4 linked regions of the Arabidopsis thaliana genome follow. The protein of the gene in region 2 interacts with the protein of the main gene of each other region in a pairwise test. Each region holds a gene or a part of one and is shown on either strand. Other genes may lie near its edges.

Region 1 (7,745 bases), on a different chromosome or scaffold from region 2:
GAGACAATAGAGATCAAACATTTCAAACAGTAAATATTATCAGAGAACATGATTCTATTAGGACAAAGAAGATGAAATCCATGGCACAGCATAAATAATAGATATTACTAAAAAGTGAGCAAAGAACAAAGCAAGACAGCATGAACAAAATGGATCTCATCACAGCAGTCAGGTGCACATGACATTCAAAAGCAAGTGCCACACGTTTAAGACTCCTATATGCAGTGACAGCTCTAATCTTACAAATAACATGCCAAACTATTTCAAGTGAACAGATTTCTTTTTGCCTCAGCTTGGCACCATAGAATAATTGAAACCGCAGTGATGCTTGGAAAAAAATAAAATTAGATCTTCATGTAATATTATAGCCATTTTCCCATTACACTCTCCCCTAGCCATTCCATGTAAGTTCAGGCATATCTTATGCAATTTTGTTACACTAGGTTGCAAATCGAGTTACAGAACTCCCCCAATCTCAATGGTAAACATTAGGTGTGCATCTTCAATGATGATAATTTAGGAAGAGTAAACGTCTCAGAAAATGAAGTTCTGCCTGCTAGATTTACACTAAAGTAATGGTCCTGGAGTTGGTAAGTCTCAAACCTGCAAGCCTGAATAACATTGCCAGATACCTTCTTCTGTATACATCAATCTACTGAACACCAACGAGGCAACGCTGACCCCATGTGAACGGTAATAGCGAATTCTGCATTTTTAAAGCCAGCACCAATTCGAGATCGGCACCTTCAACATTAAAAAAAATCATGGCAACCGACATCGAGGATGAAACATATATTGTTCTTAGCAAGTTTAAATGAGCACATGAGTTTTTTCAAGTTAGTGTTCTTATGGCAGCAGTAGATCAACTAATCCTTACGGGGGGGTGTTCACAGAACATGCAGCTATTTAATGACCCCAGGAGAAGGTATGTTGAGAATACATTTTCCATATATATTAGACGATGGAGAGTAATAAGGATTTCATAGCTTAGCATTATTCGCAGGAGAGTAACATAAATCTAAGAAGGAAGCACTATCTTAAACAGCACAACATGAGTACATTATTCAGGTAACACTTAACAGACCTAGCTAGTTGTACTGCCAGTTATGGAACATAGCAATACGAACAAAAAGTGCCTACAAACACTAAAACAGATGATGGGAAACTTTATGCAAACACACATATATATTACCTCAAACAAAATTTATGCATAGTAAAATTGAAGACAGTATCAACCACCAGCATAACATCCCAACCAAAGACGAAATGAAACATATGTCGCATTCAGGCACATGATAGCAACAAACCAAACTCAAGAAAGAATGGGAGCATGCATCGTTGAGAGTATAGTATTAGAAACAAACCTGGTTCATAACATCTTTTATCATGTCAGTTGCTATATCAATCTGCATCTTATCTCCAGATATACGGACAGTCCTCTCCTTCAATCCATCACCTTCTGCATGTTGTGGTATTAACTACACAACAAATTTTAAAATCAGTTGTCACATAGAATGAGACAAGGTAAACACGTTTCCTAAAATTTAAATACTTTCAGTCAGTTTCTATTTTTAACATCATACACAAGTAACCACCTGAGTACGTGCTCCTGACCTTGTCTGCATATTCTTGATTGTCTCGCCACCTCGGCCAATAATCAGACCAACCTGTCAGTTGAAGCTGAATTAGATATGATTAAATTGTTGCTGGAAAGAATAAACTAGGGAATACCTTATCATTTGGAACTTTAATCTCTATCTGTTCTGGGATCCCTATCGCATGAGTGGAAGGATGGCCCCTAGCAACTAGGGCAGGTGAACCTCCTGCTTCAGCCTAATGTAGTACGAGAAGAAATTCTTGTAACCAAATATCTTACAGATACAAAGATGCCAAAACTACTGAAAAAAACAACTGTTAACCTCTGCTATGACTGCACTGATAAGCTTCTCAGCACTTTCAATGCATGCAACACTTCCAATTATCTCCACTGGTCTTAACGCTGAGCTCGGATCAGCTTCTGAATCCCTCAAAATTTGGATTTTGGCACCAGAGTTAAACTGAAGATACCGTATAGTCTCCCCACCTTTACCAATCAACACACCTACCTGCAAAGCATTGTGATAAGCACGTCAGTGAAAGTATTCCGAAAGAAAAAAACTCACAGAACAGCCAAAAATGAAAACCAAATCATATCACCTTTGAACTTGGGACATCTATCCTACGAGTTGTCGACTGTGTGCCATCAACCTCCTTCTGAGATTTTTCACCATCCACTTCCTTATTTTCTTCTTTACCATTCTCTTGAGAACTACCATCATTCACTTCCTTACTATCGTCATCAATCACCTTCTGATGTTCACCACCATTGACATCCTCAATACAACCTTGTTGGTTATCCTCAGGCTTAACCTGATCATCTGTTGGCTGATCTACACTACAAATCTTATTTTCAGACTCATCAGCATGAATAGGATCCTGAACTTCCTCAACAAGTGGTACAGAATCTTGATTCTCTTCCTTAGGTTCCTGAAGCTGTTCTTCCTCTTTTACCTCCATTGAAGACCCATTTTCTTGTGTATTCCCATAATCTACAACAAAGGCCGAAGAACAACAATGAGAAAGACTGATTTATCAACAAACTCAAAGAAATCTCTTTTTTTGAAAACTATAACCATAGAACATCATAAAAATCAAAACTTTAGTTTATAAGAAGCCAAAGAGACAGAAACACCTAAACCATCTTGAGCTTCATCTTCTAGCTTCGCTCGTTTAGCCTGAGAAGAATCAGATGTTTGATTGCTATCATCCACGATATTTCCATTAAGCTCAACTTCGTCGAGCTTTCGCTTGAGATCGACAGGCGGCGTAGAGATAACAACAAAATCTTCCTCCGTCATCTGGAAACGAATCGTCCGGCGAGGAATTTAGGGAAAGCTGAGTACTGTAGGGTTTGGGGAAGAAGAGAATTATCTCCGGCAGTGAAAAGAGTTTGGGTTGCGACTCTGAACGGTGGTGGAGAAGTAACGTTTAAGGCTTTAACGTCTATTTATAATGTTCGGGCTTTTATTGGGCCTAAAAATGGGCTACCAGTTTTTTTTTTAAAGTTATCAAAAATAATGATGTTTTCTTTGTTGATCGTCGAGGGGATGTTGTTGAGACGATAGCTTCTACTCAAATTTTGTAGAATCGACAACATAGTAGAAATTTGTAGGGTCTTTATTTCCATTGTAGTGGTTTTATCGACTTTGGACTATGTCCTCCTCTCTATAATAGTTTACAAGCTTGAAACCCCAATGAAATCCATAACAAAACCCACATATAGCTTATGAAATTCTTAAGATCAAACATAGAAAAAGGCTTACCAACTGGGATTTTCAGTCTCTGAACATACATAAATCGCTACGGTAATCACTCTGCAGTGTATCCCACGGTTGGGACACGACTCACATACGCGATTTCATAAGATGGTAAACTACTACTTATGCATAGGTACGACATAAACACATGTATTTGTATTCTTACGGTACATAAAGTGATGGACATTGTATGATTGATTCTCCACTGTGTCTAGGTATTGTAGAAAACGGCTTCTCATCTAAGGCTCAAAACCGGCCATGCGCCAGGCGATGGTAGAGCAGGGCGGATCACAGGGACCCTTCTTACCTCTGTGAACACTTCATTGAGTCGAGCAGCCTGACTCATCACCCGCGACGCCTTCTGCACAGATCATAAACAACCCAAGACGTGATAATGATAGAAGTAAACCAACACCAAACAAATACCAACCAAGCAAAGAGATGTGCGCTAAGGGAAAATATCAAATCACAGCATTTTCAGCGGATGATGCCTCAGTATTTTTGTACTTAATTCAGACAGATTACAAGAACATATTAACTACAAAATCTATATCTTAGAGGGGGGTATTGGACATAAATTCTAGATTTTCAGGTATAATAAAAGAATTTCGAATCTTTCTTCTCAATTCAAATAAATATTTTGCAGTATTTTTAATAGAATTCTACTAGAATTAAGAAGATAAATTACTGAAATCTTTTGTTCCACAATGCTCTTTATCGGGACAGCCACCATGCCCAATCTCTAAAAACTGTACTTTTTCCTTCACAAACCTCTTAACCCAGAAACAATCTACGTTGACGTTTACATGAAATGGAAGAGATCCATATTTTGACAACAACGACAACGACGTCATCACAACCTCCGCTCATCTGCTCTCTATAGATTAACGCACTCTCCTCATATATAATCGAACGAATGATGATCCGAAGAATAAACCGGATCGAAATCACAGATTCTAATAAATGTGTTAAACACTCTCCCTCAGATTTGAGAATTTTTTTTGTATGGTTGAAGCAAATCGATGAAAGAGAAAAAAAGGATGGATGTGTTATATTCTATCCAAATCTCAACTCAAAAACTCAGAATTTGTTCTTCACATTTTAGACCAATTTTTCTATTAAATTCTTGTGAAGTAACGTTGTCAAACAAAACTACCGAAAACTGAATAACACTTGCAACTAATAGAATTAAGAAATGAGCAAGTTAAATAACACAAGAATTTAAAAGAATTTGTGAAATGTCTAATTGAATAACACTAGAATTTAAGATTCTATTGAAGTCTATCAAATTCATGCGTCCAATACCCCCACCTTAATATAAGGCAGGACAAGACAAGAACTAAACTAAACTTGAAATTCTACGGCTCAAGTCAGACCAATTGCATCAACACAACATAGAGTGTAGCTAACTCCTAAAACGTATCAATCTAGACCAGCTTACCAACTTCAAGCAAAATGAAAACACAAGGGTCAATGATAATATAGTGTACCTTATCGTCAATCGTAACTTTAAGATGGAACCTTTGAGCTTTCTTCTTCATATTATACAATCTACGTCCCAAGAGAACCAAACCCATCACAGCAGCAGCCATAGAGACAGACCAAACCGGACCAATCCTAAACACAGAGTACTTAAGAAGCACAAATGGCATCTTCCACCACACAGTCTCTCTACTTTTACCCTCACCACCAGAACTCACGCCTCCAACTTCCACAGTATCTCCTCCACTTCCCTCAATTACTTCACTAGAAGCAACTACACTATCAGAAACAACTTCTTTTTCACCATTCACAACCCCAGAATCTCGAGAAACCAATTCATTTCCCCCTAAATCAGAACACAACTTGCTCGAATCCTCAATAGGTTCTTCAACACCCGATTCGTTCTCACCGTGCCTTCCATCAACGAATTCTTCGAGATTCTCTGTTTCATAGTGAGATACGGTTCCACCAGTTAATTCAGTAGCAGCTTCGCTCTCAACATATTTCTCATTGGCAGCTTCAAAATCACTAAGCCTAACCTCACCATCACCCAAAATTCCAGTTTCTGAATCATAAACCCCAAATTCATTTCTGACACAATCATCACCCGATTGACTAACACTGAACTGATCCAAACCAGAATCAACACTAACCTCACCCGGATTCAGACACTCCGACCCGTAATCAACCCGAAAAGAATCAAAATAACCCGATTCAATCACCCGATCAGTAGCAGAGAAATGATCAGAAAGAATCATACCGTCATCGATTACGCTTGAACTCTCTAATTTCGTCTCCGATGTGATTGAATCAGTTGATTCTGTATCAGAGCCATGATGAAGAAGCTCCCAATCATCCATGATGATCGAATTCGAAGATTTCAGATTGGGATTGCAATAATCAGAAACCCTAATGGATAAAACCCCAAATATTGGAAAAGGATCGCAACAAATTAGAGCGGTTGATGATGGAAAAGAATGGTTCTTATCCACTTTGAGAAAGTAATTACGTGGAGGTATCTAATTGGTTGCGTGTCAATCTCAGTCCTCAACTAAATTTTTTGGCATTAAAGTTTAGTAGATTCAGAGAACTATAGTATTTATTCATTTTGTTCTTTCATTTTTATTTTATTTTTTAAAACGATTTAATTAGGATTCGGCAATAAATCGTATGGTGCGGATCAAATGAATTAAACAAATATGTATCGGTTAAAATAGAGTAGACGATGTAAGAAAAATATATATAATCAAGATTCAAACGGTTGAGGTGGGTTTTGCAAATAAATCCATCGGTAGATTGAAATATTTTCTTATTTATTATTTATAGATTAGTATTTATAATAGTACTGACCAAAAATATAGAAAAAAAAAATCGGTAAAAACTTTAGACCGATTTTATATAGAAATAAATTTAGTTTATAACGGATTATTGTCCGCTCCAAAATTAAATGGTTTAGTCTCTAATAGTTTAGTTTGTTTCGAAAAGAATGGTTCTTATCCACTTTGAGGAAGTAGTTATGTAGAGGTATCTAATTGGTCACGTAACATTCTCAGTACTCAACTAGATCTTTTGACATTAAAGGTTGGTAGATTGAGAGAAGTATGGTATTTATTCCTTTTGTTCTTTCATTTTTTTGGTTTTTCACAATGATTTAATTAGGGTTCACGACGAATCGTATGGTGCAGATCAAATGAATTAATCAAATACTAGATGATTTACCCGAACTATGTACAGGGAGAAATAGTTATATGAAATATATAAACAAGTTTTTGGAAACAGATTTTATATTATCACTTGATATATAAGTGTGAATATTTGAATATGATTTAGTAACTGATATATTTTGGAGATTTTATTAGTTAGGAATTAGGATATTCTATATTTGGAATAAGATTTTAAATTAAAATATTGACCCAAAAGAAAATCTGAAATATCATTCCTATAATTCAGAAATATATTCGAATATTTTTTGTATTTTATAAGATTTTATTTTGGAAACAATTCAATATAAAAACTGAAAAGAGTATGAATAATTATGTTTTAAACGTAATAAATTTTTGATTATCTTTTATTATTCTTCATAATTCTATGTAGTTAGGATTGATTTATTGCATATCCCTTATTTTATTAATCAATTTATATTGTTACGATAAGGTTTTGGGTTGTAAATAAATTTTAACTAAAATGAGTAAATGACTAATTAAATTGAATAAACTGTGTAAAAGTTTTAATAAATTGATAAGGTAAAAATTTGAAAAGAAATAATATTGAAAGTAATCAGTAAGCGGATACATTTTTAACATAGATTAATATTGAAATATTGTTCATAGTGAATGTGTAATAAATGAAATGTTACTAACTAATTTATGTAAAACTATGTTCCGAATATATTCAAGAATCATATGGGCTCACATATACATTTAGATTTTTTGCAATTTATAACAAAAAAATAGAATGTCATATATGTTAAAATTCTAAATGTTTTCTATAAAACCTAAAAAAATAAAGTACGAAACATATAATAAACATTTATATTATATGTTGTTCATCATAATTTATGATATATACTTTTTACTTGTTTGCTCAAATATATATGGTTTTTTGATTAATTTTCTTTATTAATTGCTACTCTCTTAAATGTAGAGGAAAAATATGCATAAGTACCACTAATGGCATTATATGTAATTAGTCTAGTAAATATTGGATAACTATTAAGTTTGTTGAAAGTTTTTCTGGTTACGACATGTCAGCATGATAGTCTTGTAAATCACACGTGAATGTAAGGTTTTTTATTTAAAATACTTCTCAATTAATATATAGGGGATGTATCAGTTAAAATAGAGTAGACGGTCTAAAACCATCTCCAATGCACACCTCTATTTTTTTCTTTCATTTTAGAGACAAATT
Region 2 (7,536 bases):
ATGATGGTGAAGAAATTGTCGACCTTTCTCTTGTCTGTTTGTCTTTTGTTAAAGAAGCTATGCTTCGTTTTAATAATCTTATTGTCCATTTTGTTGTGTTATGACATTTTGGCTGCTCATTATGTTATGTGGGAAGTTAGTGTTCAAATGTTTTGTGTCGGTATTGTTCTTCTCATCGCTGTTTTGTTGGGATCGTAGAAATGTGACCTTCGGACAGTAAAACTCTTGTACTAAAACTATCTCCCTATTGGCATTTCTTAAACTTTTAATAGTTACGTGCTCGTAGTGAATCTTGACTTGAGTCAACTTCTTGTTTAAGACCTGCCAAGTGTATAAGAGGGACAAAACTCTTTTAACAATTGCTCTCTCTAAGTTTTAGGTTTTGGAATTTGGATCATAGTTTCGGGGGTTCCAATGTTTTTTGTCTGTTCGTTTGATGCTTCGTCAGAGTAGTTATCAAACTGAGCACATTGTTTAAAAAAAATATTATTATGATTACTGGCGCTGTATTCCATACTGTGATAATGAAGTGAAGCGTGACAATGTTGACCATGTTGACCATGTCGATGAATTAAAAATGCCGAGTTAATCGTACTGTTTTTGTTGGCAGGTCACTATTCTTTCTATAACTCCAATCATGTGGTTCGGCTTTAGATTCCTCTTTTTTAGAATTAGCTTTTTGTAAAGAACTCCTGTCTTTTGCCTAAAATAAAAAGCCAAATCCAATGCCCACTGGCCACTGGTTTCATCCTTCTTTTTTATCTTCACAGAATTAAGAAGAGGAGAAAAAAGAAACTAAGAAAAGAAAATTTCTTTTTCGATTAATAGCAGAAACACCAAAAGAGGATAACAACAAGAAAGAAATGTAATGTAGTGGTGAAGAAACATAGAAAACAAAAGAATATTTTGCAACAAAGTCGATGAACAAAAGGCTTTACCAATACAGAACAATCATTCATCACTTTGATTTGAGCTTAATCTTAGAAGCACTTCCTGTGGACTATTGATGGCCCTGACTCATCATACTCGGCCTTTGCTATCCACATCTGCACACCAACAACATTTTGTGTATCACATTAACAATGGGCAACAAAAAAAAAGGACACAAAATTCCATATAAAACCGAATGATGATTTTACCTGTTGGAAGGTACTGAGTGATGCTAGAATGGAGCCTCCAATCCAGACACTGTACTTCCTCTCTGGTGGAGCAACCACCTTAATCTTCATGCTGCTTGGAGCCAAAGCAGTGATCTCTTTGCTCATCCTATCAGCAATTCCAGGGAACATGGTGGTTCCACCACTGAGCACAATGTTTCCATACAGATCCTTCCTGATATCCACATCACACTTCATGATGGAATTGTAAGTGGTCTCGTGAATACCAGCAGCTTCCATTCCCACCAAAGACGGTTGGAACAGAACCTCCGGGCAGCGGAATCTCTCTCCTCCAATGGTGATCACCTGTCCATCAGGCAACTCATAGCTCTTCTCAACGGATGAGCTTGTGTTTGCTGTTTCCATCTCTTGCTCGTAGTCAAGTGCTATGTAAGCAAGTTTCTCTTTCACATCCCTTACGATTTCACGCTCTGCTGAGGTAGTGAATGAGTAACCACGCTCGGTTAAGATCTTCATGAGGTAATCAGTAAGGTCACGGCCTGCAAGGTCCAAACGCAGAATAGCATGTGGAAGAGCATATCCTTCATAAATTGGAACAGTGTGACTCACACCATCTCCAGAGTCCAACACAATACCTGGAAACACACAAGACAATGGACAATGGTACCACATCAACAAAGCCAAGAAAGGGTACTTTCTTAATCTGAAGCTAAGAAGAACTTGGAAGTTTGTTCAATGCAATGGGTAGTAGTGATTAAAAAAATGGTGTAGGTGTTGAAGATCTTATTACCAGTAGTACGACCACTAGCGTAGAGGGAAAGAACAGCTTGGATAGCGACATACATGGCAGGAGTGTTGAAAGTTTCAAACATAATCTGAGTCATTTTCTCACGATTGGCCTTGGGGTTGAGAGGAGCCTCAGTGAGAAGAACAGGGTGTTCTTCAGGTGCAACACGGAGCTCATTGTAGAAAGTGTGATGCCAAATCTTCTCCATATCATCCCAGTTGCTAACAATACCATGCTCAATAGGATATTTCAATGTCAAAATACCTCTCTTAGACTGAGCCTCATCACCAACGTAAGCATCTTTTTGTCCCATACCAACCATGACACCAGTGTGTCGAGGACGACCAACGATGCTAGGGAATACAGCTCTTGGTGCATCATCTCCAGCAAATCCAGCCTAAGGAATTGGAAACACATATGAATGAACCAGACAAAACAGCATTGTATCCAAAAATAATAAAAGAAAAAGTTATCAGATTTATATCCACAAAGGTCATGTAAAGATGTACCTTAACCATTCCGGTTCCATTGTCACAGACGAGAGGCTGAATGTCTTCACCATCTGCCATTTTCTATATCCTGTCAAAATTGATATAAAAAATATTAGCATAATTGAACCCTTTATTTTGCAAGAAACAGAGGAATCTTAAGATCTACCAAAGAGAATTAAATTGAAAAAGCTTCATAAACGCATACTAATGAAGAATCAATGACGATGGAACGTTATGGAAATGTGATTACCTTAGAAGTTAGAGAGGGGATCTCTGAGGAAACGAGGAGGGTGGTGGTGTGGTACGGGTGTGTAGTTTTTGAGAGAGAAACGGAGCGAATGAAGAAGAGAATGTGAGCCGGAGAATTGAAGTTTAAAAAAGGAAGGAATAGGCCCGTAATAAATATTGATGGAGAAGATCTCAGCCGTTGATTTCTGAATATCACTTTGAACGAAGGAGGACCCCACGACCAGTCACGTTGTTGGTGGAAACAGCTGTCTTATTTAGCTTTCTAAAGAGAGTAACTGACATTTAATTATTTATTTATTACTAATTAAATCATTTCGAAAATTTGGTAACGTAACTGTAAATCTTCTCTCTCTCTTTTACTCTGTAAAGTAATTTAATGGGCTGGATAAAGTTCCTTAATGGGGACATCTACCTATAACAACCATATTTAATGGGCTGTATAATGTTTGTTGCATTTCATATATACATACACACTAACCAACCCTTTTTAACAATTGTTTTTTTCTTGTGCGGTCAATGCTTCTTGACTCTTTTGTATTCTATGGGCTTCTAAAATTATATATGGGCTTAGAACAGTGGCCCATTGACTTTACTGTATAAGCAGAGTTTCTTTGTACGACTGACTGTTGATTTTAGTATTTGCCGAAGTTGGAACTTTAAGATCAAAGAAGAAAATGGAGAGATCCATTTCCTTTAATCCTCGAGGCGATAACGAGCTCCCTGATGATCGGAGCAGCGATGTCGGATATGCTGCTAATGATCGGAGGCTTGCTTATTCTCGCTCGTTTCAGCAATCTCACGGTCCACGAACGCCGGCGGTCACGGAAGCGGCTAAGCCTTTTCTCGATAGGACGGTCTCGAGCATCGATATGCCGCCGGATATTTACTCCGTTGATGGAAGTGATGTGTTTTTCGGGGAAGGGAAAGATGTAGACATGGCAAAAGTGTCTGTTTTGGAAATGGTTTGGGAGGTTTTTGGAGTAGTGACAAGTGGAAATCGGCAGATGAAGAGACTGTTTCTGCTAATTGCGCTTAATGTGTTGTATTCTACAACAGAGCTCTCTATTGGTATCTTCACTGGTCGTGTAGGTACGATTTGGTTTCAGTTCTCTTTTTGTTTTAGGATTGAATCTCTGAATTGTTGATATTCTTTCTTTGAATTGTTTTGTGGACTCTTACAGGTTTGGTCTCTGATGCATTCCATTTGACATTTGGTTGTGGTCTCTTGACATTTTCTTTATTTGCAATGGCAACTTCAAGGAAGAAGCCTGATCATGCTTACTCATACGGGTGAGTTACAAGTAATTTGATTGGCTCAGTTGGTTAATCCATTTTATGATCTATTTTTCTCCCGAGACTGTAATGTGATTATGCTCAAGTGGTTGTAATTTAGGCATCCTTGTCTTCTCTTTTTTTTGGGTTCCCAGGTACAAAAGACTTGAAGTTTTATCTGCTTTCACTAATGCTGTAAGTATGTTCTTAACGTGTTTTGGATGTCATTTCCAGCTTTAGTGTAGATGGCTTGACTCAGTGTTAAAACTCTTTCCTTTACTGTTGCTGATAGAATAGAGTATTTTACAGCTCGTTAAAAAGATTTGGACTTCCATACAATCTATCTTTTCGTTTTGCCTTTCATTGTCTCTGTAGTTTATCTTTTTGGTTAATACTTTGATTTGTTTAATATTTGACATATGTGTAGACAGCTGTTCCTTATGTTCATGTCATTCTCCTTAGCTGTGGAAGCTCTTCATGCATTTATACAAGATGAATCAGAGCATAAGTAAGTTGATATTTTCACAAATGACATGCCTAGGAGTTTCTATATATATCTCTAGCACTTACTAAGTTTACAGTACTTGTTCCCTCTTGTTCCTTTCAGTAGTGTGATTTACTGAGATTTCCTTTATGTAGGCATTATTTGATTGTATCAGCGGTAACAAATCTGCTGGTGAACCTACTAGGTGTTTGGTTTTTCCGGAATTATGCTCGTGTCAATATTGGTATGTTTTTCTCTGCATTTTAAGTTCTGTTTAGACTTGTATGAATTGATGCTCATACGCTGCTTTATATTTTGATATAGCCTTTGTTGGTGGCTTTGGTATTCATTTGTAGAAATTGGCCACCCTTGTCAGTTTTCGCTTTAAAGCCAAAGAAGTAAGGGTGTTTGGTTAAGATAGAATCAGTACGAAGATTAGTTGAAAGAGAGAGTCAGCATAATTGTAACTGATCTGTCAAACGACTATTCGTTGCTTCTTGAAATTATCTGTCCCTTCTTTACATATCTAAAAACCACATGTTATCTTGAATTTTTTTCTTATATTCATAATATGCAATATGCTGCAGCCTACAGAAAAGCAGAAGATATGAATTATCACTCCGTTTGCTTGCACGTCATATCAGATTCCATCCGCAGGTGTTAATCCTCTCTGCCTTTATAAATTTCAAGCAGAATCGGAGAAAGCTATATAGAAAAGAAAATGCTTCCTTTTGCATCAAACTTATATACAGTCAACATGAAGTTTTCTTTGCTGCTGTCTTTTCAGTGCAGGTTTGATACTGGCATCTTGGCTCCTCTCGCTCGGGTAATACTCGCTTTCTTTGAAGGAGCTAAATGAATAAAAGTGTCTTCTTGCTTGACTACATTTTCCTTTTGCTCCTTATGCCTTGGCTTTTTCAGGGTTGAAAATGCAGAGGTCCTATGTTTAGGATTGGTATCGGTCACAGTGTTTATGCTTGTTATGCCACTCTTCAAAGCCACTGGTGGTGTCTTGCTTCAGATGGCACCCCCAAACATTCCTTCTTCTGCTTTAAGCAAATGCTTGCGACAGGTTCGCTCATAAATCGTTCCTCGAATGTGTACATATTTCCCATTGTTGATCAAACCAGGCTTCTCTTCAGCTCTCTCTCTCTGTACAGATTACTTCTCGAGAAGATGTAACGGAGGTTTTACAGGCACGTTTCTGGGAGGTTGTGCCTGGTCACACTGTTGGCTCACTCAGACTCCAGGTACTCACTTTTCTCCTTTTTTTTATATCGGTTAAAACATGAGCTCACACTAGAAATGGAAATGACTGGGTTTGTTATTTTGTTTATCGGCGTTAGGTGAAGAGCGGAATAGATGAAAGACCATTACTGCAATATGTATATGATGTATACCATGATTTGGGTGTACAAGACTTGACCCTGCAAACTGATTACACCTAAGCTGCATCTGCCTCTTCTTTGTTTTTAAATGCTGATTTGAAGATTTTTGGATGTATACTAGAGATCATGGTTCTTTAGGAATATAAATATTGTGAATTTTCAAGTTGTGACTTTGTGATATTGTTTTGTTTGTTTTTCATTTATGTGAATTTTCAACCACACAAAGACCACAAACCTTTGTATCTTCAAGCTTGTGGATATTTTGGCTCATAATGATTGGCGAATTAAAACATATATCATTTGCTAAATGTGAAAGTAAACACACAAAAATTCAATATGAGCTGAGACAAGATTTTAGCATTCCTTCTCGTTTATTTATACGATAAAAAAGGAAGTGGGGGAATCGGAGATCACATCAAGCTATATCTTAAAAACCTAATATTCCGAGGAATGGGCCACTAAAAGCATCTTAGAAAGAAAATTCATCGATTACGAAATCATCTCCCGTCCATGTCTATATATTATTCTTTGCTTACTCCTATGCTTCATTGAACATAGCACATTTATTTTATTCCACTTGTGATCATCCATTATATAAACCATGATTGCAGTTTTTGGACTAAAAGCTAGAAAAAGTTGTATTCTTTATGGTGTAATGTCTTAAGAACATATTTTAATGAAGGCACTACTTGATTTCTCTTGGTTGTGGTCTGCTCTGTACCAACTCCAACGACAAAAACGTATAATATAGAATAATAAACAAGAAACAATTGTTCAAAAAGACACTTTTATTTGAAAATTATACGGTTTTAATGTTATTGTTTAATTGATTCAACTCAAGAGAGAGAGGACCAAAAGAATATGATCATGAATCATCAAACCATTAACTCTTAACCTTTCCCCTTAAAAAATTCCCAATTGATAAGAGAGAATCAAAAGCCAAAAGTAGAGTTAACCAATATTATATCTAGAAAAAGAAGATTGTAAGATAAAGCTGATGAAATTCACATTGCAAGAAGAGAATCTGCTTACAAAAGAAAGAAGGCAGTGTTAAGTCTCTGATTTCTTCTTGATAACATTACTACTATGTACAGATTCAGCAACACAGTTATTGGGGTCTTAAACCTTCTCACCTTACTAGCCTCGATTCCAATCATCGGAACCGCTTTATACAAGGCAAGAAGCAGCACGACATGTGAAAACTTCCTCCAGACGCCGCTACTTGTTATAGGATTCATCATACTCATAGTTTCCCTTGCGGGATTCATAGGAGCCTGCTTCAACGTGGCATGGGCTCTTTGGGTGTACTTAGTGGTCATGATCTTCCTCATCGCTACCCTAATGGGTCTAACGCTATTTGGTCTGGTGGTGACGAGCCAAGGAGGTGGAGTGGAAGTGCCAGGGAGGATTTATAAAGAGTATAGGCTTGGAGACTATCATCCATGGTTGAGAGAGAGAGTTAGGGATCCTGAGTATTGGAACTCCATTAGAAGCTGTATCTTGAGTTCCAAGACTTGTACTAAGATTGAGTCTTGGACTACACTTGATTATTTCCAAAGAGACATGACTTCTGTTCAGGTACAATCTACTTTATGACATGATTCATGCTTGCTTAACAAATTGCTATAGTAATCTAATATATATCTTATCATATGATAATTTAAGCCTTTGATTTTATTTGTTTCTTCGTTTCTAATCGCGTGTAAAGCAAGCATGTGACTAGAAATGAAAAAGGCAAACGAATTTT
Region 3 (6,785 bases), on a different chromosome or scaffold from region 2:
GATTTGACCAAGAGAACTATTTTAACTTTAAATAAATATATATATATATATATATCCATAAAAAGCATTAATCAGATTCCATTTTGATTGATATATATGATAAAATATGTAAACTTACAATGGCAAAACAAAAGTACAAACGAGGACAAGAACCGTACCTTCAAACTTTTGTTTCACCTAACAATCTCACTCTAATCTAATCCATCTAAGTCTTCAAAGTACTAGATTGTGGATTCATGATCTGGATAAAGACTTCTTACGCCTACAAATTCGTGTTTATACTTGAAACAATAAAAAATTACAATAGCAAAATTACTCGAAACTCGGGAGCTACCAAGCAAATCTTGTCCCCGTGCCATCGAGAAATCTATCAGTATACCATCCTTTAGCTTGCACTTGAGATAAAAATGGATTGAAGACATCGTTCATTTTGTCATACGCGTCTTGCAATATAATGTCATCAGGGTCATTATATATCTTTGTCATTGACTTGACATATGCTGCAACTAACCACCCTCGCAATGCATCTTCACCGGTTGCATCGTGCTCTAAGACCATATCGGTCCATGACTTTCCATGACTCAATAGAAACTTCTCTTCTACAAACACTTGTTTTAGTCTTTGTACCTCAGAAGGCTTCACAGCTTTATGGAGAGCCCTTCCCACTTTTACATTTCCTGCGTCTTGGATTGGTCTCTCGGGGAACATTAGGTCTTCTTGGAATCTTAAATCAGGAGGGCTTGGGACTTTACCAGTCTGAGAAGATACAACAACACCTCTTATGTAATTAAAAGAAATCAACAAGATGGTTTACAGAAAAATTGAACAAAAGATGATGCTAATTACCTTGAGAAAATTAGCCACAATCAAAGCGGTTCGCTGTGGATTCAGTGTGTTGATTGGTACCCCTCGCATTTGTTCTACAACGCTATACACATGTACAACCGAAAGAATTGACCCAACCACCAACTGCAGATATCAGCCTTTTCATAATAGAGTTGCAATCCAAACAAATAGAAACTGCATTTTGAAATAGAGAGTAACGATGTAGCAGAATGACATTACCTTTCCCTCCATTGATGAACATATTGTGGACGCAAGTTGAATACCAGCACCTATCCCGGCAACATTGAAAAGAGTAGAGATAGCTTCTCCTTTTGCAAAAATGTCACTAAGATTTCCTTCTTTGGCAAAAGATGAATATATTGGTAATCTTGTTGCCCTTGCTGCAACTGTAGCCATTCCCTATTTAAAACAAACAATGCCAGAAAAGTATGAAAAACAGGAAACCAGTGAAGCTGATTGATGTATAAAAGGATGGTCTTTAGAAAGCTAATATATCTCATAGGTCTCCTATTGAAGCTGCTGAGGAAAGCAGGCACAGATGTTCTAAGAAAGATATCTATACCTTAGCAAAATTCCCCAGACCAGCCATTTCAAGAAACAGATGCGGGCATAATGGAGAAACGAGTTCCAGACCAGTACCAAGATCGTAAAGCACGTCAGCTGAAAATTATGAATCAATACTTTTTATAGTTAACGCTATAAAGACATCAGCAGAAACATGTAGCTACAGAATGGTGCATACCCAGAATCCTCCACCGTTTAGGCTCAGAGTCCATTCTTGCACCCAAATTGCTACATATTAGCTTTCCGACATGTTGCATCCCATCCTTCAATATCTACAGAACCAATAGAGTAAACAAAACTTTCACTTACGGACAGGGACTGAACAAGCAAACGAACAAACAAACTGAAGTGGTTTAACATACCCAGCTAACAACAGTTGCTTGTGCCGGTGTAGGCCGCAAGCCTGCAGCAAACAACAGTGACTGCAAAGGAATGATACAAAAAAAAGTTATGTGTCCATGTGAAAACCTCCATTACAACAGCTCAAGTAAACAAATGCAATTTTCCCAAAATCAATAATCAAAGCTGAATCATGAAGAAGACCTGAGTCGATAACACTGATAATGCTGCACTAGAGAAATGCTGAAGTGCTCGAAACTGTGTGTACCTAAGATATCCTTCGTTGACACTATAGAGAAGAAGTAAAGAAAGAAACTTGGTTAAAACACATGCTTTAAGGCTAAAGCCTAGAGACTCTCTAAAAACAAAAGTTCCAAACTTTGAGTTCACCTGTATGGATAACCAGAAGGAAAGAACTTGTTAAGGAAAGATTCAACCATCTTCTGAGGAACAGGTCTTGCATCATCAACAACTTTCATCTAAAACGTGATAATTCACATAATGATTCTACAAGTTGAGAGCAATGGCATAAGAGAGACAAGAACGAGGGAGAGGGAGATTTACAGAGAGGTGGCCGTCGGATTGGAACTGATAACGGTGAGAGACAGAATCAGAGGTTTCGAACCAGTAAACCGGAAAGTCTTCAGGGCTCTTCAACATTACTGGGTCTTCCTTCTTTATCAACTTCACCTTCTCCTGCTTCGTTCCCCAAGTTACAAAGTCATTCACTATAGTTTGGAGAATCATAAAATGAGATTAAAAATACAATAGAATAAAGATTGTGAAATCCTACAAGAAACTGCATCTCTGAGACACGATGGCACAGTCAGGTTCCGAACGTTAAGAGTCGCCGGAGTTGGAGTGAACCACCACAACAGTAATCGCCTAGAGCCGTCTAAAAACAAAATCAAAGAGATTATCTTAACAACGACGTCGTTTCTTCGTTCCTTTTCTACTTCTGAGGCCCAAATGATTTTTGTTACTATTCACTAATGGGCTTAATTAAGGCCCAATATTGATAGATACGCGGCGACTAGTTAAGGGGCAACAAATATGGCCCACTTAAAAAGAAACACGACTTTTCTTATCGCGTTGTTCTAACGCCACCGACCGAACACTTCTTTTTCTTCTGCAATAAACCAAAAAAAGTTAAAAATTCAAAAACTTAATTACTAAGCAAAAGTGTGCACGAAGAACAAAGCGACGCATCCGATTTTATTTGTTTGATAAGTTCGTGTCGTCTTCGTCTCTCTAACCCAATTCTGTGGTGTCTGAAGAAAGCAGAATCAAATCCATGTCTTTCAGAGGACTTAGCAGGGTAAAATTACAAAAAAAAACTTTTCTCTTCTTGCTTAAAATCGATGTACTCTTGTCTATGTCGCAAGCATCTTCAATGTTAAAAATTTGATTTTTATGAAGTCGATGTTAAAAAAAACTAAACCCATCTCCATTTTTACTCTTATTGAGGGTTTAAGATCACTAGATGAAGTCAATTCGATGAATTTTGGATTAAAAATCGAATCTTTTGGTATGGTTTTGATATGTGTTTTGGTTTTATATCTGTAGCCAAATGCAATATCTGGAATGGGTGTTGCAGATGAGAGCAAAACCACATTTCTAGAGCTTCAAAGGAAAAAAACTCATCGCTATGTGGTCTTCAAGATTGATGAATCCAAAAAAGAAGTTGTTGTTGAGAAAACTGGAAATCCTACAGAGAGCTACGATGATTTCTTAGCTTCACTTCCTGATAATGACTGCAGATACGCTGTTTATGACTTTGATTTCGTTACTTCTGAGAATTGTCAAAAGAGCAAAATCTTCTTCTTTGCTTGGTTAGTTTGATTTTTACCATTAGTAAGTCTATAAGGGTTTTGATGTGTTGAGACTAAAACATTTTGATTTGGGACTACTGATGTTGTAGGTCTCCTTCGACCTCTGGAATTCGAGCCAAGGTGCTTTACTCGACTTCTAAAGACCAGTTAAGTAGGGAGCTTCAAGGGATTCACTATGAGATTCAAGCTACTGATCCTACTGAGGTTGATCTTGAAGTGTTACGCGAACGAGCGAACTGAGAGCAAGCAAGATTGCTATGTCTATTCAAAACTTATGGTAATGTAATGAATAATTCGTATTCTCTGTGGATTGATTTGTGTAAACACAGTTTCATGTTCTATGTCAAACTGTATAACCTCTGGTGTTTCAGATTGCACAACCTAAAGCTTAGGTAAACTGAATATGGTTTAAGATCGTAAAAGGTTGATATATTAGTAATGTTAAGAGGGAGAAGAAACTTCTCTTTAGTAGATAACGAGAATGTTGATGAGCATGATGAGAGAGTTCTTAAACTAGTCTAGCAAATTCTGTATAAGCTCTTGTTGTAGCCATCTTGAATTCGAGTCTAATCCTTGCGAACAATATAGAAAGTGGTAGTGTGTAAAGTTTCCCTCATCATTTGTGGTTTCTTTTTCTCACTTTCTTCGGTGTAGTAAAATTTAAGTTGTATGTATAATAGTTCTATCATATACCTGCTTTCTAAAACAAAACAAAAAAAACCTCTTTCTTGTTTCCGCATATCCCCTTCCGATTCCATTGAGAGCAAAACCATTTTATGAGGTTGTATACTTAACCTACCATTCCTAATTCCTAATTGCTTAACTGTTACCAAACTGTGATGTCAAAAAGAAAAATGTTACCAAACTGGAGTCAAAATGACATAAATACCCTTGACCATTTGAGAAAAAATGTAAGGAATTAGGAGGTTGCAAGTGGGGTCCATTGCCGTTGTGGCCAAAAGCGAGATTGCATGACCCAACTGAAATCTCAATTAGGAAGGAGATTGCATTATTTTTATATGTTTATTTATCATATCTCATATTAAGGTCCATTTCCTTCAGTCTATTATCATCATGTATCCACTATTTGTTTGACATTGGGGAACATTTTAGAATAAGAAGTGGAACTGGAAAGTAAAATATATCTATTAGTTCCAACATATTTCATTAGTTTTAATTTTTCTTGCTCCAAACTCTAGTAGTTTATAAATACACGGCTTGAATTACGTTTAAAAGAAAATAACTAAACTTTCTAATAATTCTCCAAATATTAGAACATGTCTTAGTAAAGAATTAAAGCTTTGTTTGTGTCAGAAATTAAAGGTTGGAACCATTTTGTTCTCATTCATAAAAGGGAGAAGAAAAAAAAGAAAAGAAAAATTGTTTCCTCTGTCTTGAAGTATTTAGTAGAGAGCTGTCCAAAACAATACAAACACGTCCAAAAAACCCTCTCCTATGGGAACAAGAAAGACCCAAAAGACACAAACACACACCCAAACTCCATCAAACAGAAATAAAGCAAACCAAAAAAGCTTCTCTCTTTTTTCCTACATTTGATTTAAGCTCTAAATGTTGAAATGATCTTTGATTTGACATTGTGAAGCTGAAATATAGCTGGTGGTAACCTTCAAAGACGACAAAGAAGGAAAAAGATCATCATCTTCTAACTTTTGGTAATTAGATAATTTCATTCTCTAAACAAAGTCTGATTTTTGAATCAATACTAAAAAAGTGATAGAAGAGAAGCTATCAAAACACAAAAACAGAGGATTTTTCTTTTCCAATCTAAAAGAAAGGTGCTTAAGGGAATTAGTTTGAGATTAGGTTTTAACTGAGTTTATACAAACTTTCTTTATTTAATGAAATTAACTTAGATTGGCTTTTGTCTTAAAGATTAATTATGGTTGTGAAAATTAGTTTTGGTTGCAGAAAAAAATCAGTTGAAAATGTATGAGGAAAGTTCATGTTTTGATCCTAATTCGATGGTGGACAACAACGGCGGCTTCTGTGCGGCGGAAACAACTTTTACGGTAAGCCACCAGTTTCAACCACCGCTTGGAAGCACAACAAACAGCTTTGATGACGATCTTAAGCTCCCAACAATGGATGAGTTCTCTGTTTTCCCTTCTGTTATCTCTCTCCCAAACTCAGAAACTCAGAACCAAAACATCAGCAACAACAACCATTTGATCAACCAAATGATTCAAGAATCGAATTGGGGTGTTTCTGAAGACAACTCTAATTTCTTCATGAACACTTCACATCCAAACACAACAACAACTCCAATCCCTGATCTTCTCAGCCTCTTGCATTTGCCTAGATGCTCTATGTCATTACCAAGCTCTGATATAATGGCGGGTTCTTGCTTCACGTATGACCCGCTCTTTCACTTAAACCTTCCTCCACAACCTCCATTGATCCCTTCTAATGACTACTCAGGGTACTTGCTTGGTATTGATACCAATACTACTACTCAAAGAGATGAGTCTAATGTTGGAGATGAAAATAACAATGCTCAGTTTGATAGCGGAATCATCGAGTTTAGCAAAGAGATTAGGCGTAAAGGAAGAGGGAAGCGAAAGAACAAACCTTTTACTACAGAACGTGAGCGAAGATGTCACTTGAATGAGCGGTACGAGGCCTTGAAATTGCTCATTCCTAGCCCGAGTAAGGTTAGTTATTTACTTATGACAACAATCTTTCTTGGTTTAGCTTCATTCATTATCTCCAATGGCACTTTGCTTAATTCATATTATATGTTATTTAGGGAGATAGAGCATCAATTCTTCAAGATGGAATCGATTACATCAACGAGTTACGCAGAAGAGTAAGTGAGCTTAAGTATTTGGTAGAGAGGAAGAGATGTGGTGGGAGACACAAGAACAATGAAGTAGACGACAACAATAACAACAAAAACTTGGATGATCATGGTAATGAAGATGATGATGATGATGATGAAAACATGGAGAAGAAGCCGGAGAGCGATGTAATAGACCAATGTTCAAGCAACAACTCGCTGAGATGTTCATGGCTGCAGAGGAAATCAAAAGTAACAGAAGTTGATGTTAGGATTGTTGATGATGAAGTAACAATCAAAGTTGTTCAGAAGAAGAAGATCAATTGTTTGTTACTTGTCTCCAAAGTACTTGATCAGCTTCAGCTTGATCTTCACCATGTTGCCGGAGGACAGATTGGTGAGCATTA
Region 4 (8,112 bases), on a different chromosome or scaffold from region 2:
TATCCAATTCCCATTCACGCTTTGCTCGGGTTATTGCTATTTGTCTTGGCAAAAACCGCTCAAGAAGTGATGTCCAATCACTGATATGTGATACATTGAGAAAGGAAATGATATTGTTAAGGGAGGAAAATTGGAAAAATAAAGTATCGGACAACTAAAATAAAGTCAATGGCGGAGCTTAAGAAAACTAACATGCATGACTCTGGACTATTGACAAACCCAATCCCAACAAGAATTTGCAAGGCACAAAGCTGTGCAGCATCGTCCCTCCCAACAGGATAGTTTCCTAGCAAATAGTCATGTTGCAGCTGCATATATGTGTGTCAGCAACGAAAGGCAAGCCTTTTGTGTGGAAATAAATGTCACCAATGAAGAAAATGCTCACTTGAACATACGAAAGTTGCACAAACATCAGATCTGTTACAGCTTCATCAGACTCTCGGAATAATTTTTTTTTAAATACCAGTTTGCAGTGTAGTATCTCTCCTTTATTTCGATCTTTAATAGCTTTAAATTCTGCGAGGAGATCTCCAATATACTTGTTATCATCCAATCCTATATATTCCTCTGCAAGTGCACAGATAGAAAAATGATCGATAATGTTGTATTACTTCACAATATATGACGAAGCCAGTCATATGAAAGCATACCATTTCCGGGATCAGATGATTTAGAACTTGAAACAACTTTACGACATTCAAACAAACTAAAGCTAGAGAAAGCTGATAGTTTAATTGTTCCAGCTAGCTCCTGAAACAGATGTCAATGCAGTGAGAGAAAAAGGGACAAGAATATGATCAGCGGTAAATTATGAAAAAAGAAAGCAAGAAGATACCTCAACAGCATCAGACACTGTGGTAGCCATGTCATATGAAATTTCTTCAAAAGTTTCATCGAGAAAGAAGACAATGGTTGTGAGCTTTCTACCGGTCAAAAGGGCTTCAATTTCTTCACGACCAGGTGTGGTGTGCCTAGGACCAGCTTTGATAGAGCGCTTTAAAGCTTTCAAAGTGTTAACAGCAAGAACCTGAGCATCCGGTTCAATAGTTGCATCGTGTGCGACATTATGAATATACTCAGATAGATATCCACCGATATCTTTGCTAGGAGGCATAGAGGAGGCACATAAGTACATCAATTCCCAAGCTTTGATCAAGTATTGCCTGTCAGGATTATGTCTAGTCTGTTTGGAGATTTGGGCAAAAAGTTCGTCCCTGAGTTCAACACGCTTCAAAGTTTTTTTGAAGAGCTTTCCAACGAGGTCAATGCGTTCATCTAAACTGGGAGGCGTAGATCGATCAGATGAATCAACACCCATATATTTTAAGATGAGATGAAACAACTTGGTAGCACGGCTGACGAGATCGCTGTTAATCTTGAGGAGAGATGTGGGGATTGGATCCTGAAGGAAGGAAGGGGAGAGAGACATATTCAGTCAATGGATTGTCAATGGGGAAGAAAGGGGGGGAAAGAAAAACCTTTTGAAAGCAAAGCATATCCTCAAATGTGAAGCGCTCGCGGACATTGGAGCCAGAGGACTTTTTGGAATAGAAGAAGCCACGCTTCCCAGCAGACTGGATTTGTTTCTGCATTAGCCGCAGAAAAGCTTCAACCTGGAAGCGATCGATGAGGGGAATGGCGGCGGCAAGCTCCGCAGGAATTGACAATGCCACTTGAGGAGCTGGGGAGCTGTGACAGAGCGAGAGACTAAGAATGTTTTCAAATTTTCAAAGAAGAAGGATCAACAGAGACAGCAGCAAGAGAGTGAATGTTTTTAAAAATTCAAAGAAGACTTACAGAGGAGGAAGAGAAGACGACTCGGCATCGAAATCGGTTCCAGAGGGATTGGGAACATAGAAGCAAGAAGAAACGTCGGTGGCGACTTCGGTGCCATTGCCAGAGCTCAACGAAGAATTACTGCCTCGTTGGCCCTCCATACCCGAAGAAAAAGAGAGATTGTAGTAGATCTGATGAACAAATTTGCCCCAGAAATTTGGGCAGAGGGAGAGAGAGAGATGGGGAGACGAGAGTCACGGGAGATTTTTAATTGCCTCTTCTCATTCAATACTTCACGATTCACCTGATTTTCTAATTATTTTTCGTTTTCAGAAGATGAGACCAAGGAGGAATCTCAATCAAATAAATGAACAATGACTATAGACGTGCTTCCACGTCCGTTTGCCATGGTTGTGCCTCCAACACCATTAACAAATCTTAACACAATTCTGCTCTGCTGCTTTGGTGTCAATTCTCAAATACAATAATGATTTATGTAATGTATGCAAGTCCTATTCAACACAAGTGTTGTTACATTTATTTTCTTTTTTCTTTCCCACAGACGTAAACAATAGTGCTCCATCACCTTCTCCACTTCACAGCTTTGCGATCCCTAAAGCAGGCAAGTTATTCCTTGGCGGAAGCTTTAGATCATCCTCCCGTTCCACTCTCTCGAAGTACTGCTCCACCATGCTATCCTTCATGTCCTCCAGTCGCCTTGGCTCCCACTATAATTTCAGATATTGTTATCAACAATGTCACATATTACCAACCACAAATAACAAATGGAGAGACTTGTTAAACCTTTGGGTTCTTATCTTTGTCTACCAATATGGCTCTGCACCCCTGCATAAGTAAAGACACGCTGTTGTAACTACGGTCTACAACAAAGACGGTTTCAGATGGAAAAAGCTTGCAAAACCTCCACAAAATCTTTGCTGATTTCTCCCTTCATCACATGACACACCATTCTATACTCGCGGATAAGACACTGCCCCACCCCCTGCAATCGCCCTTCCCTTATCTGAAATATATACTCACAGTCAGCTCTTTGTCAACATTGCCTGTGATGCACATTCTGGGAACTAACCGATCTAAGAGAGATTTTAAGGCTTGCTGGTGAACCCTTCTTCAATGCTTGAATGGTAGCTGAGATCCAACCATCTGCTTCTTGAGTGGCCTCTCTCTCCTAAGCAACACATATGATGGTAGAGTGCGTTGTCAAAGGTAAATCAGTCAACTCAGGATCGCAAGTCAACATCTCTATATATAAATGAAAAGCTTACAAGTGCAGATATAATTTCTTCGACTGTTCTCCTTGAGAAACACCTATCAATAACATCTAACCTGCGCAACAAACGGGGAGATAAAAAATAACTGTCCTCTGCACTTTTATAAATTTTCAATTAAAGATCAGATGAGAAATGAGTTCTGTAAAGAGCGATTGAAAACCTGACAGCAATACGAAATTGAAATTATAGAAAAAATGTGTTATAATCATGGTCAATAACCGAGAAAATGTAATCAGGTAAAACCATACTAGTAGAAAGAGTAAAAGAGATAAAAATCATATAGACTTGCCTGCGGTAAGCACTCTGCTGTTTCAGGCGCGGATGCTGGGTGTATGCATCGAGAATTGTTGAGGCAAAAGTTGGATCATTTGAATTAATTCTGCAAAGATCTGCTTCTAATGCAGTCAACCTCTGTGGAAAGGAGTAAACCTAACTAAGTAGCAATCCTTGGTGAAGCAGATAGTGCTTGACACTAGTAGCTATACAATATCTGATGTGTAAAGTCAATTCAGAATGTCTTACGAAATAGACGCACGCAAAGGAAGTTCATACCGTTGAAGGCACAAAATGAGTTGCAAGGCCACAAGCAAGCATTTCAGCACCATCTAATCTAGCTCCTGTGAGGCCAACATACTCCCCTGAACAAAAAAGACAAGAAAGCATTTTCAAACTTTGGTGGCTTTAAGAAGATGCAAAAAAAGGAAATATAGCTTCTGTTACCAAAAAAACCAGGGAGCCTTGACAAGAAGTAGGAGGCGCCTACATCTGGAAAGAGCCCCAGAGCTGTCTCAGGCATGGCAAAAACCTTGGAGAAAGTCGAAAGATATGAGCATATTTTGGAGCGACCTATTTGTCATCCATGGACATGTTTAAGGAAAGATTACCGTGTTCTCAGTTGCAATACGAAATCGACCATGGACGGATACACCAGCTCCGCCTCCCATGACGATACCATTCAAGATTGAAACCTATACGAATTGATGAGTTTATCCACTCGGGAGTGATTTTACAAAAACAAAACGAAATTATAGCGAGACCTGAGCTTTGCTATATGTGGCCATAACATAGTTGAGCATGTATTCAGATGAGAAGTAATTGGCACCGAGTCTCCAGTTACCTAGTCAACGAACGAAGATAGAGAAAGAGTGTATAAAAGCTGAAAGTAAGAAACAGAAAAGAATGGGTGGTAAACCTTGATTGATGTCACGAACAACAGCTGCAACATCGCCACCAGCACAAAAGGCTCTCCCATGACCCTGTGGCAAAGTTATTCAGTACTAAATGTGTGTAAGCGGAAGAGATAAGGATAATGATTACCTTTAGGATGACAAGTTTCACACTAGGGTCCTCCTCAAATGCAAGGAACAGTTGCAGCAATCGAGAGATCTACAGAAAAAAATGAGTCTAAGCCAATACAGTACGCATGTACAAGAAGGGAAATATTCGATACCATGTGGAAGGACAGAGCATTCAGCTGCTTTGGTCTGTTTAGTGTCAAGATTCTAACACTCGATTTCTCTTCCACCAAAACCTGTGATCATATTATTAATTCAGAGAGCGAAGAATTGATCGTCGTAGATTCGGATTAAAGACGCAAGAAAGAGACCTGAGACTGAGAGGCCATCTCGACTGCCATCTTTCTTACTGGTCAGATTCGCCTTTGTATCTCCGGAGAGAGGAGCAGCAATGGGATCAGAAATTACCACTAATGGCTAACAAAATCTTCACCCGCTTAGTTTAGGAAGTTGATATTGGGCCTTATAGTAATCTGTTGGTTTTAATAATGGGCTTTATTTTGTTAATAGAGCAAATGGAACTTTGCTTTTCAAACTCAATTTCAAAGCCCTCTTGCAACATGCTTGATGAATGAGAAGATTATATGTTTTTATCGAGTACGTTAGACATGTGTTTTTTTTGTTAGGAAGCTAGTTTTCCAACTAACCAACACCTCCCTCTAGCATAAAATGACACGTGGGCACCAGATCAATCATTAAAAAAGTCTTCAAAAATTCTCAACAACCACTTCTAAAAGTCAGACATGAAAGCCCTCGCCTCTCGATATATAGATAATTTGCATATACATGAAAACTCAACAATCTGACGCATATGCAACAGAGTTGAAAGATGGAAAGAGCAAGGATACGATGGCCGAGTGGAAGAGGAATTAGGCTGAGGCAGAAGACAAAGAGACTGCGTGCGAGAGTGAGAAGCTTTTTCAGGCTTCTCAGGAGCTGGTGCTGCAGAAGGCCTCCGCTGGTCAGAGAAGACGGTCTTGATTACACATCTATACGTCGCTCTAACTCTTTCTACGCCGATGCAATTGCAGACTGCATTGACTTCATCAACCGCTCCTCCGCTTGACAGCTTCTCATTCTCTTCCAATAATTCTTTCTTCCATTTTGTAAAATCCAATGTTTCTGTATATGCAACCAATTCGAATTCTTTGTATTATTTTATTTTTTTGACGAGTCGATGCATCTTTAAGAAGTGGGCTTATAATGGGCCTGATGATACTACATCCTTAGAAACCACATTAGTTTAAATCAGATCTGACAACTGCAGTGGTTCATACCCTTAAAGATTAAAGGCCCGTTGAAAACCCATTAAGTATTTCACATCATATTCTGGGCCAGATGAACAATCTGACAGCTATACAAGTCCATTCCCTTATCCAAAGGCCCGTTAAAAGCCCACGTAAAATGAATGTGTCAGATCCTTCCTTGCTCGATTCAACGCGTCCGAGTCTCAGACACTCCCCGGCGAGATGGAGGAATACCCGGAAGAGCTCAGGACGCCACCGGTAAGTCTGGTGGCTCTCTTCGGATACGCGGAGCTACACGCGTCCATTACTAAGTATCTCCACTCCCAGCAGCCTCCCATCAACGCTCTGGCCTTCCCCGACTTCTCTCAAATCTCTCTCCTCCTTGCTCATGATGATCAGATCAGCCGAACCTCCTCCTTCAGAGATCCTCTCAGCGTCTCCGATTCTGCTTCTCCCATTCCTTCCAGATGCGGCGGTATTTTGAAACGGGACTGGTTGCTTAAGCATCGCACCAAGGTCCCTGCACTTGTCGCCGCCTTCTTTCCCTCACATCACATCTTCGGCGATCCAACTCAATGGCTACAGGTCTGCTCCGATCTCGACAGCCTCAAGTATTTCCTCATCTCCCTTTATATTTGTTTCCTTGTTTCCCCTCCTTTGTTTCAAACCCTCAAATTAACACTGCGATCTCAATTGCTTGCTAGATCCGTAATCCGTCCCAAAAACATCAAACTGGTGGTTGTCGTGGTCCAGTCTTCTCCCCACGGTAGCGCATTTTATCCGATTATTCTTTTCATTTTCCTCTCGGAACTACTGGTGACTTACTCCTTCCCGACTTGTTTTTAGAGGACATTAGCGACGATCGTCTGGTGGCATTGCGAAAGCGGGCAGAATTAGATTCTAAGTACGTGCTCTTCTTCAATTCCAGCATAGTCTCTGAACTCACGCTCTCTCTCTCCAGGTATGTTTCTCTCCTCTTTTACTTTGCACCTAGAACAAGAGGCTTTTCCTTCAATGCATCTCAACACGGTATGTTTGCAGACTCGCTTCTGCTTTTGCAGAGTTGGCACTTTCTTATTACAGAGAAGAAGGACGGAGAATCAAAAGCCGAATTGAGAAAAGGAGTTCCAATTCTCTTGATTTGAATGTTCGCTACTGTTTTAAAGTAAGCTTTTCTCGTTACCTCTGCTAAGTCTAATCATTTTGTTCCAAAGTATCTGGGAAAAGGAAGGCTCATTCATGCCATGACTGCTAGGTCGCTGTATATGCAGAGTTTCGTAGAGATTGGGGTGAAGCACTGAAGTTTTATGAAGACGCATACCATTCCTTGCACGAGGTCTTTATTATCTCTAAGTATTTTGTTTTTTCCCAACCCATCTGTCACGCTAATATGTATTCTGCTTCTAGTCAAGAAGTTCCTTTTGATGCATATATGGTCATTGCTTTCTTATTATTACATATCTTTGCCTGCGGTTTCCACACATTCAATTTCGACGAGCAATTTTGTTTATGCAAACAGATGATCGGGACATCGACTAGGTTGCCTGCAATACAACGCTTGGTCGAGATCAAAATCATAGCTGAGCAATTGCATTTCAAGATATCAACGCTTTTGTTGCATGGTGGAAAACTCATAGAAGCAGTGACATGGTTTCATCAACATAAAACATCATATGAAAAGGTTGTCGGATCCACAGAATTTATTTTTCTCCATTGGGACTGGATGAGTAGGCAGTTTCTTGTCTTTGCTGAGTTGCTGGAGACAAGCTCAGCAACTGGTCAGAGCTTAACATCCTCAAACCAAGGAACTGCGGAAATATCTTTGACTGAGTTTGAGTTTTACCCTGCCTATTATTATCAGGTCAGTCAATTCTGCTCTATGTAACACATAGTCGGAACATATCTAAACTTGGTGGTGCATTTTGTGTTAAATCTTTTCTGTGTCTTTTACCATTTAGTTAAAAACAATACTACATAAACTTAAACACCTACCTCTAAGCAAATGCTGGATTTTTCGTCCTCTTTCTCATAAATTTCTGAGCTGTCTGTTCCTAGGTACAGTATGTTGAAAATATAATATGTTCTTATCCACTGGGAAATTTTCGTTTTACACGCAGTTGGCTGCTCATTACTTGAAGGATAAGAAATCTGCCCTGGAACTGTTGTTGTCAATGTCTGAAATAGCTCAAGAGATTGATAGCAGCTCTGCATCTATTACTCCTTCAGTCTATGTGGGTCAGTTCGCTCAGTTGCTTGAGAAGGGAGAAGCTATTACACTTCACTCGTAAGTTGTTCATAATTCATCCCACAAATCTATGTAAAAGAAAACTAATTATGCTACCACCATCTCTAATAGTATGAATTCTAATGTATTTGCAGTATAACGGATGAAGAGTACACACGGTATACAATTTCAGAAGCAAAGAGAGTTCAGGATTCCCTTCAAATTATTGCTTGGCTGAAGAGATCTTATGAATCATTTACCAACCTTAAAGCCCAGAG

What was found.
Region 1: the proteins of ACT11 (region 2) and AT4G10080 interact in a protein complementation assay, tested with the Arabidopsis thaliana proteins (one large-scale study listed by BioGRID).
Region 3: the proteins of ACT11 (region 2) and ADF6 interact in a two-hybrid assay, tested with the Arabidopsis thaliana proteins (one large-scale study listed by BioGRID).
Region 4: the proteins of ACT11 (region 2) and CHY1 interact in a two-hybrid assay, tested with the Arabidopsis thaliana proteins (one large-scale study listed by BioGRID).

The regions. Positions count from the first base shown.
Region 1 is NC_003075.7:6,296,863-6,304,607, forward strand, and holds AT4G10080 (uncharacterized protein), read right to left. Parts: upstream 5,883-7,745; 5' UTR 5,699-5,882; coding exon 4,847-5,698; intron 3,718-4,846; coding exon 3,592-3,717; 3' UTR 3,157-3,591; downstream 1-3,156. Other genes in the region: AT4G10070 (KH domain-containing protein), read right to left, coding at 1,365-1,478, 1,596-1,667, 1,732-1,833, 1,920-2,105, 2,197-2,588, 2,732-2,897.
Region 2 is NC_003074.8:3,853,054-3,860,589, reverse strand, and holds ACT11 (actin-11), read right to left. Parts: upstream 2,811-7,536; 5' UTR 2,647-2,810; intron 2,485-2,646; 5' UTR 2,475-2,484; coding exon 2,415-2,474; intron 2,303-2,414; coding exon 1,909-2,302; intron 1,754-1,908; coding exon 1,140-1,753; intron 1,047-1,139; coding exon 981-1,046; 3' UTR 501-980; downstream 1-500. Other genes in the region: AT3G12100 (Cation efflux family protein), read left to right, coding at 3,320-3,734, 3,827-3,935, 4,073-4,112, 4,349-4,425, 4,557-4,645, 4,989-5,058, 5,189-5,227, 5,323-5,473 and 2 more; TET6 (tetraspanin6), read left to right, coding at 6,876-7,367. UniProt on the Arabidopsis thaliana protein: Actins are highly conserved proteins that are involved in various types of cell motility and are ubiquitously expressed in all eukaryotic cells.
Region 3 is NC_003071.7:13,291,128-13,297,912, forward strand, and holds ADF6 (actin depolymerizing factor 6), read left to right. Parts: upstream 1-2,825; 5' UTR 2,826-3,043; coding exon 3,044-3,067; intron 3,068-3,315; coding exon 3,316-3,581; intron 3,582-3,670; coding exon 3,671-3,821; 3' UTR 3,822-4,283; downstream 4,284-6,785. Other genes in the region: RUS2 (root UVB sensitive protein (Protein of unknown function, DUF647)), read right to left, coding at 331-756, 847-969, 1,066-1,245, 1,409-1,506, 1,589-1,682, 1,773-1,832, 1,954-2,038, 2,140-2,228 and 2 more; AT2G31210 (basic helix-loop-helix (bHLH) DNA-binding superfamily protein), read left to right, coding at 5,528-6,253, 6,349-6,785. UniProt on the Arabidopsis thaliana protein: Actin-depolymerizing protein. Severs actin filaments (F-actin) and binds to actin monomers.
Region 4 is NC_003076.8:26,374,458-26,382,569, forward strand, and holds CHY1 (beta-hydroxyisobutyryl-CoA hydrolase 1), read right to left. Parts: upstream 5,225-8,112; 5' UTR 5,212-5,224; exon of another isoform or gene 5,161-5,211; intron 4,791-5,160; 5' UTR 4,705-4,790; coding exon 4,675-4,704; intron 4,600-4,674; coding exon 4,519-4,599; intron 4,455-4,518; coding exon 4,386-4,454; intron 4,325-4,385; coding exon 4,261-4,324; intron 4,186-4,260; coding exon 4,106-4,185; intron 4,037-4,105; coding exon 3,953-4,036; intron 3,874-3,952; coding exon 3,789-3,873; intron 3,707-3,788; coding exon 3,621-3,706; intron 3,480-3,620; coding exon 3,358-3,479; intron 3,124-3,357; coding exon 3,063-3,123; intron 2,966-3,062; coding exon 2,867-2,965; intron 2,801-2,866; coding exon 2,699-2,800; coding exon of another isoform or gene 2,675-2,698; exon of another isoform or gene 2,623-2,674; coding exon 2,581-2,622; intron 2,505-2,580; coding exon 2,373-2,504; 3' UTR 2,153-2,372; downstream 1-2,152. Other genes in the region: ZWI (kinesin-like calmodulin-binding protein (ZWICHEL)), read right to left, coding at 1-80, 193-308, 386-567, 651-750, 836-1,402, 1,479-1,707, 1,798-1,937; AT5G65950 (trafficking protein particle complex subunit-like protein), read left to right, coding at 5,833-6,221, 6,315-6,376, 6,457-6,571, 6,652-6,775, 6,866-6,946, 7,130-7,471, 7,728-7,894, 7,990-8,112. UniProt on the Arabidopsis thaliana protein: Involved in valine catabolism. May be indirectly involved in benzoic acid biosynthesis and in cold signaling and cold tolerance.